Stegostoma tigrinum: one gene and its partner. The protein of the gene in region 1 interacts with the protein of each later gene in a pairwise test. Links are inferred from orthologs where the notes say so. Each region holds a gene or a part of one and is shown on either strand. Other genes may lie near its edges.

Region 1 (3,749 bases):
CTATACCCAGACAGTAATGAAAATGTGCAAAGTCCTGCTGGGAGGGTCAAACTGATGAGCGCAGGAGCAGAGGGCCCTGGTGTGTACGTGCAGAGATTGTTAAAGTGGGAGGTCAGGGGAAGAGACGAGTTACAGCGGTAAGCTGATCATTAACAAGGGCCTCAGTTGGCTGTCCCACATCACCAGGAAGATGTGAATACATCAGAGACAGAACAAAAACAATTTACAACAATAGTTCCAGGGATGGGTAACATCAGCGATGAGGACAGGTTGGGGAAGTTGGGGCTGCTCTCTTTGGGAGATCTGACAGAAATCCCCAAGTGGGGTCTGGACAGGGTGGAGTGGTAGAAGTTGCTGAGAACAGCACAGTGTGGTGGGTGATGCTCCCCACTGGATCTATCACATTAGAGGTGCCCCCAAACCTGCACAGACTCCGACACCGGTTCCTGAGGGCCCTGCAAGACCCAGGCACCCTGTTACCAGCCAAGCACAGTACCCACCACCCCCGCCACCCTCCAACCCCACGGCTCGGGCACGGTCGCCCCACCTCCAACCCCATGTTCCGGACAAAATGCCCCCCAACCCCATGTCCCAGACAAACTGTCATCTCTCAGACGTCTCCACAACCCAAGTCACCCCTCCCCCCACTGAGATCCAGACAAACCCCTCCCCCAGACTCCACCCCCCCCGACCCATTGCCACCCTGCCGCCCGCCCCCCCCACCCAACCCCCGCCCCCGCCCACACAGCCCCCGGACGCCGCCCGCCGCCACCCAACCCCCGCCCACACAGCCCCCGGACGCCGCCCGCCCCCCCCGCCCAGCCCCCAGACCTCTCCGCCCCCCGCCCCCCACCCACACAGCCCCCAGACCCCTGCCGCCCCCCACCCACACAACCCTGCCGCCCCCCCACCCACACAGCCCCCACGCCCCTGCCGCCCCCCCCCCGCCCCCACCCACACAGCCCCACACGCCCCTTGCCGCCCCCCCCGCCCCCCCACCCACACAGCCCCCACGCCCCTGCCGCCCCCGCCCACCCACCCACACAGCCCCCACGCCCCTCCCACGCCTCTGCCCCCCCGCCCCCCACCCACACAGCCCCCACGCCCCTGCCGCCCCCGCCCACCCACCCACACAGCCCCCACGCCCCTCCCACGCCTCTGCCCCCCCGCCCCCCACCACACAGCCCCCACGCCCCTGCCGCCCCCGCCCACCCACCACACAGCCCCCACGCCCCTCCCACGCCCCTGCCGCCCCCGCCCCACCCACCCACACAGCCCCCACGCCCCTCCCACGCCTCTGCCCCCCCGCCCCCCACCCACACAGCACCCACGCCTCTGCCCCCCCGCCCCCCACCCACACAGCCCCCACGCCCTCTGCCCCCCCGCCCCCCACCCACACAGCCCCCACGCCCCTGCCGCCCCCGCCCACCCACCCACACAGCCCCACGCCCCTGCCGCCCCCCGCCCACCCACCCACACAGCCCCACGCCCCTGCCGCCCCCGCCCACCCACCCACACAGCCCCCACGCCCCTCCCGCCCCCGCCCACCCACCCCACACAGCCCCCACGCCCCTCCCACGCCACAGCCCCCCCGCCCCCCACCCACACGCCCCCCACCCCGCCACCAGCCCCCCGCCCCCCACCCACACGCCCCCCCACCCCGCCACAGCCCCCCCGCCCCCCACCCACACGCCCCCCACCCCGCCACAGCCCCCCCGCCCCCCACCCACAGCCCCCCCCGCCCCCCACCCACACGCCCCCACCCCCCCACAGACCCCTGCCACCCCCCCGCCCCCCACCCCCCCACAGACCCCTGCCACCCCCCCGCCCCCCACCCCCCACAGACCCCCGCCACCCCGCCGCAGACCCCCGCCGCCACCCCGCCCCCCGCCGCCCCCCCGCAGACCCCGCCGCCACCCCCGCCCCCCGCCGCCCCCCCGCAGACCCCGCCGCCCCCCCGCCCCCCCCCCGCAGGCCCCCGCCACCCCCCACCCCGCCCCCACCCCCCCACCCCCCCCGCCCCCCCCCCACCCCCACCCCCCCCACCCCCCACCCCCCACCCCCACCCCCCACCCCCCACAGACCCCTGCCACCCCCCCCACCCCCCACAGACCCCTGCCACCCCCCCCGCCCCCCACAGACCCCTGCCACCCCCCCGCCCCCCACCCACACAGCCCCCTGCCACCCCCCGCCCCCCACCCACACAGCCCCCTGCCACCCCCCCGCCCCCCACCCACACAGCCCCCTGCCACCCCCCCGCCCCCCACCCACACAGCCCCAGACCCCTGTCCTCCCCCCCTCTCTCTGACCAGTATAAATGGCCGCAGAGGCTGATGACCGCGTCCCTGGCGGTGTCCAGGCAGATGTTACACTCGAAGCTGCCCTTGTCGGCCTGGGCCTGCCCCGGCCGCTCCTCTCCCGCCGCCGCCGCCCTCTCGCTGCCCTCAGCCGCGGCCGCCATGACTGAACAAACACCACACTACCGCAGGTCCCGCCCCCTTCCTAACGGCCCGCCTTCTTAGGGGCGGACCCAGCGCGGACAGCGGTATTTATTGGGCTGGTCTGCCGTCGATCACTGGCTCTGGGCGGGAGCTGCCGCGGGATGCACGGTTCCCATTGGACATATTGTCGTCAATCAACGTTCGTTTCAAACACGCGGCCAATATCGATGTATGACTGGATCATATTCCAGTCAATCAGGTCTCGGGAGGCGGGGAAAGGTAGTTACGGGCTCCCATTGGATATCGCTACGGTCATGGTGTGCGCCAGGACCGGGTCACACCTCGACTATGAGCTCCCTTCAACAGGCTGCTGTCAATCATCGTCTGATTAATCTACATGGCCGTTATTCGCCATCTGATTCGGCTACACCGCCGTCAATCAGCCAGGCGGAAGCGGTTGTCGCTAGACCCCGGCTCCCATTGGATGGTATACCGCCCCGGGGCGGGTCACCGATAGACGTCGGCTCCAAATTGACTTAAACGTCGTCAATCAACAAACCCCGACTCCCATTGGACCAAGCCCCGTCGGTCACTATCTTATTGGTCAATGTAGCCGTCCATCACCTTCCGCCCTCTTATTTTTCTTCTTGCCATTGGTTGGGATTGTTGTCGATCGTAGCTCTCGGTGAATGATTGGTTGGAATTCTGACGGCAGCGGGAAGGACACCGGTCGGCGATCCGCCCAGCTCCCAGGTTCCGGGACTGAGGTAACACGGTGTGGAGCTGGGTGAACCCAGCAGCAGCAGCAGCAGCATCATCCTCCGACACTTCCGCCATTTACAATCCAACCCCACCACCCAAGACATTTTTCCATCCCCACCCCTGTCTGTTTTCCGGAGAGACCACTCTCTCCGTGACTCCCTTGTTTGCTCCACACTGCCCTCCAACCCCACGACACCCGGCACCTTCCCCTGCAACTGCAGGAAACGCTACACTTGCCCCCACACCTCCTCCCTCACCCCTATCCCAGGCCCCAAGATGACTTTCCATATTAAGCAGAGGTTCACCTGCACATCTGCCAATGTGGTATACTGCATCCACTGTACCCGGTGTGGCTACCTCTACATTGGGGAAACCAAGCGGAGGCTTGGGGACCGCTTTGCAGAACACCTCCGCTCAGTTTGCAACAAACAACTGCACCTCCCAGTCGCAAACCATTTCCACTCCCCCCCCCCATTCTTTAGATGACATGTCCAACATGGGCCTCCTGCACTGCCACAATGATGCCACCCGAAGGTTGCAGGAACA
Region 2 (3,749 bases), on another chromosome or scaffold:
TCTACAGTTTAGCAACATCTTCCAGCAGAGATCCTAAACTAAGTTGCCAGTCATCTTTTCCTTGCAGCGAGGGAGTCAGTGCAAAAGAATATAAAACACATAATCTATAATGGGCTTAAAAATCAACATGAGCAGAACAGTGCAGTCCTGATTCATACAAAATCACAGAACTAGAAAAGCATTCAGGAGCCTGAAATGTGGCAAAGCAACATGATATGATGACAACATTGCACCAGAATTCCTGTGCCTGCTGACTCAGCTCAACTAAATTCATGAATGAGTCGGGTATGGGAAAGATCATTCCACAGAACGGAAAAGATCTCAGATTGGAGATAATGGGAACTGCAGATGCTGGATAATCCGAGATAACAAAGTGTGGAGCTGGATGAACACAGCAGGCCAAGCAGCATTTTAGGAGCATAAAAGCTGACGTTTCGGGATCTCAGATTGGACAGCCAGTTATCAACCGACTTGTTTGTGTGCTTTAAGATCGAAAATATCTTTGATGTCGATTCTGTTTCTGCAGTGCGTGTCCAACTTTGCACATTCACCAACCACATGGAAAATGTCTTCCAAAGAACGTGAAGTCAGGCATAAGTGCTGCTGGACCGCACAGTTGCCCATAATACAGTGTAGCACAGCTGTCCAGAGTGTTTCCAACCTGGGTAATTTTCTTCGCAATAGACAATTTAGAGAAGTGCATGGAGAACACTGGCCAATGGGCTACTATAGGGGAGGGTGGTATGTATGTTGAAGATAGGAGTTGCATGGGTAAAGCAATAAGCGATGGGTGGAGATGGAGCCCACCTTTTCCAATCTAGCTGAGGAAAGCTCAGGGCTCTCTGGACCCAGAACATTAACTCTGCTTTCTCTCTGCCACACCTGCTGACTTTCTTCAGTAACTTCAGATTCCCAGCATCCGCAGGTCAACGTTTTATTTCGTGTTTTGACGCTCTTCCACCAACATCGCACGCCTCGGTGTCAGGCAATCACGGAGAAGTTCCCAACGGTCTCATGCCCGGGAAGCGCGCACGCCGTGACCACATTGCTTGAGAGAAACTGTGCGTGCCCGACCCCGCGTGCGTCATGACGCAATCCCGTTGAGCGGTGTCTCTGGCACGGAGGGGGGCGGGGGGAAAAGGGGGGGTTTCCATCATGGCGTCAATGCAGGTGAGTGTCTGATGTGTTCGGCGGCGCTTCAGTGGACGCCTTCTCTCTTTCCTGCTGGGGTGGCCGTGTCAGTTTCTCTCCGCATTCGAGGGAAGAGCCGGCCCTAAGACCTCCTCGGTATCTGCATCTCGTCTTTTCAGCTGGGGTTGGGGGGTTGGAGGGTCGGGGGGAGCGGATAAACGATGAAGCCGAGTGGAGCGGCCCGCGATTGTTTGTGTACGTTTTCACAAATTTGCGGGCTTCTTAAAACCGCGGCGGTGAAAAGTGCAGAGGGTTTTGGGCGCATTCCTAATGGAGTGGGATGTCGATCCCTGAGCCCTGGGTGGTGGTTGGGGTGACTTGGGCTCCATCTCTCCGCCTGCCCCTTGTTTCTTTCCATCCAGGTGATGGCAACAGCATCATCGCGCCCTGTGAAGGTTATAGGTGCCAGCGACACCTGTCGAGGCCCACCACAGGAACAGCAATGGGCTCAGGAGTCACCTCTGCCATCAGCAATCGTTATATGACTTGAGTTGGGCTTCTTCAATTTCAGAACCTTTAACTTTGCTCCTCGTTTCCACGTTCTCACCCCGATGTGTGCTTATCCTGTCGGGGATCAAGCCTGACCACTTGTTTAAATACACAGTACGTGGACTAACACCTCATCTGTGTACGCATCCTCCGTGGTAAAACTTGCATCAGTTCAGTAAATAAAGGCCGTCCATTTTTATTAATAGTTATCCACATCTTGAAAAATGTGATTGGCCGAGTTACTGCACTTTTTTTCGTGCATATATATGTAAAACTGTCAAGCTTGTATTAGCCCTGCAATTGTACTGATTAGCTGAGTTTGTGAAGGAAATAACTACAGTATTAATTTGGGAAGGTATGAAATTAGGCAAAAAATTTACACTTCAGAATTTTTACACAACTGCATTCAAATATGTCAATTTTAAAGTGAAAATCAATTGGAAGCAAACCTTCACAGAATTGGGGATAATTACAATTTGGAAAATTATACACCAGTTTACCTAATATTACAGTAACCCATTTTTTCTAACTGTTCTGTTTTCTCTAATAGAAAAGGTTACAGAAGGAGCTAATGGCTTTGCAAAATGACCCACCCCCAGGAATGACTTTAAATGAGAAGAGTGTACAAAATTCAATAACGCAGTATGTACTTTAATATTTTAATGTTAATTTTAAAATGTGAAAAGCCAGTATAAGGCAGGTAGAGTTTTTAAAATTACTGGCAGTTTTACTAGAATCAAAGATTATTTTCTAGTGTCATTGCTATTTAGTTATCAGGATATGGACAGGATTTGTGCGCTCTGTTAAACAACTTGTATTAGACAATAGACAATAGGTACTGGAGTAGGCTATTCGGCCCTTCGAGCCAGCACCACCATTCATTATGATCATGGCTGATCATCCACATGATTGCATTGTTTCTAAGAAGGTGTATTTCAGGTTACAAGATGATCGTTGGACTAATCATGTTTTGTAAATAAGTTGATGTAGTATGATTGTACAGTGTGTATATTTTAATGGAATTTGCTGGATGTATATCGTGTGGAGTAGTTTTTTTAAGGTGCATATAAATAATAGAAGTATAACAGCTCAAAAGCTAAGTTTGCAATAATAGCTTGTTTTAAGAATGTTGGCTTTGAATATATTACTGGAAATTTGAGGACACTACAAGAACTGGTGGATTGTTTCTGAATCTATTGTACTATGAGATATGACTGACACTTAAGTAGTTTTAATGTGGTGATTGTTTGTTTACTGAATTAGTTATATACTGTCAGTGTTTTTGCAGTATAATGAGCATTGTCTTATATCCTATGGTATACATTGCGTGTGTTTATCTTGACTTAGGGAGTTAACAATGTCTGACTATTAATAGCAGTAACTCTGAAATGTTTCTGTTCTTAATATTTGTACGTACCTTCATTGTTTAATTTTTCACAGTATCAAATAGTTTTGAATTGTATATATTTTCAGCGTAACAACTTATAAAGTCTCTGCATGTATGAACACACTTACTTATTTTACCTGGTTCCTCTGATGTCTGACCAGTTTCAGTTTCATACTTGCTGTATGTAATGAGTTGAATGTGTAAGTGAAATATACAGAATGATGCAATGGAATCATGTGTTTCTTTTAAAAAAAATTTGATTTGCAAGAAGATTAGTCCTGTAAATGATCGCTTGCAATATGTAGCATTGTGCAGGTTTATAGAATGTGTACTGCATTTAACTCAGTTAATTCACAACGAAAGGAATTGAATTATAATCTTGTTTATTAAGAAACTTTGTAGAAGTATGATGCATACATTTAATCTGAATGTTTAAATCTCCTCATACCTCACCCCACTTGCCCATCTCTCCTCACGCCAACCAATTGTCCATCTCTCCTCGTTTCTCCCCCCCCCCCCCCCCCCCCACTCGTCCATCTTCTGACACGTGTCGGCTCCACGCTTCCCACTGACCAACCACAATAACCCCTACTTGCATCACCACCATCAAAATCTCTCCATCCCCAACATTTTCATCTTCCTACTCACTAACTACCTGCATCCACCTATCTCCATCTCACCT

What was found. The genes of interacting proteins can lie anywhere in the genome.
Region 2: the proteins of rnf5 (region 1) and ube2wb interact in binary tests that used the Homo sapiens proteins (3 or more experiments, as listed by UniProt). The link is inferred for Stegostoma tigrinum from reciprocal best matches to the Homo sapiens genes RNF5 and UBE2W.

What each region holds. Positions count from the first base shown.
Region 1 is NC_081387.1:28,193,836-28,197,584, reverse strand, and holds the start of rnf5 (E3 ubiquitin-protein ligase RNF5), read right to left. Parts: upstream 2,495-3,749; 5' UTR 2,462-2,494; coding exon 2,310-2,461; intron 1-2,309. UniProt on the Homo sapiens protein: Membrane-bound E3 ubiquitin-protein ligase that mediates ubiquitination of target proteins. May function together with E2 ubiquitin-conjugating enzymes UBE2D1/UBCH5A and UBE2D2/UBC4.
Region 2 is NC_081358.1:26,385,300-26,389,048, forward strand, and holds the start of ube2wb (probable ubiquitin-conjugating enzyme E2 W-B), read left to right. Parts: upstream 1-1,125; 5' UTR 1,126-1,155; coding exon 1,156-1,170; intron 1,171-2,230; coding exon 2,231-2,322; intron 2,323-3,749. UniProt on the Homo sapiens protein: Accepts ubiquitin from the E1 complex and catalyzes its covalent attachment to other proteins.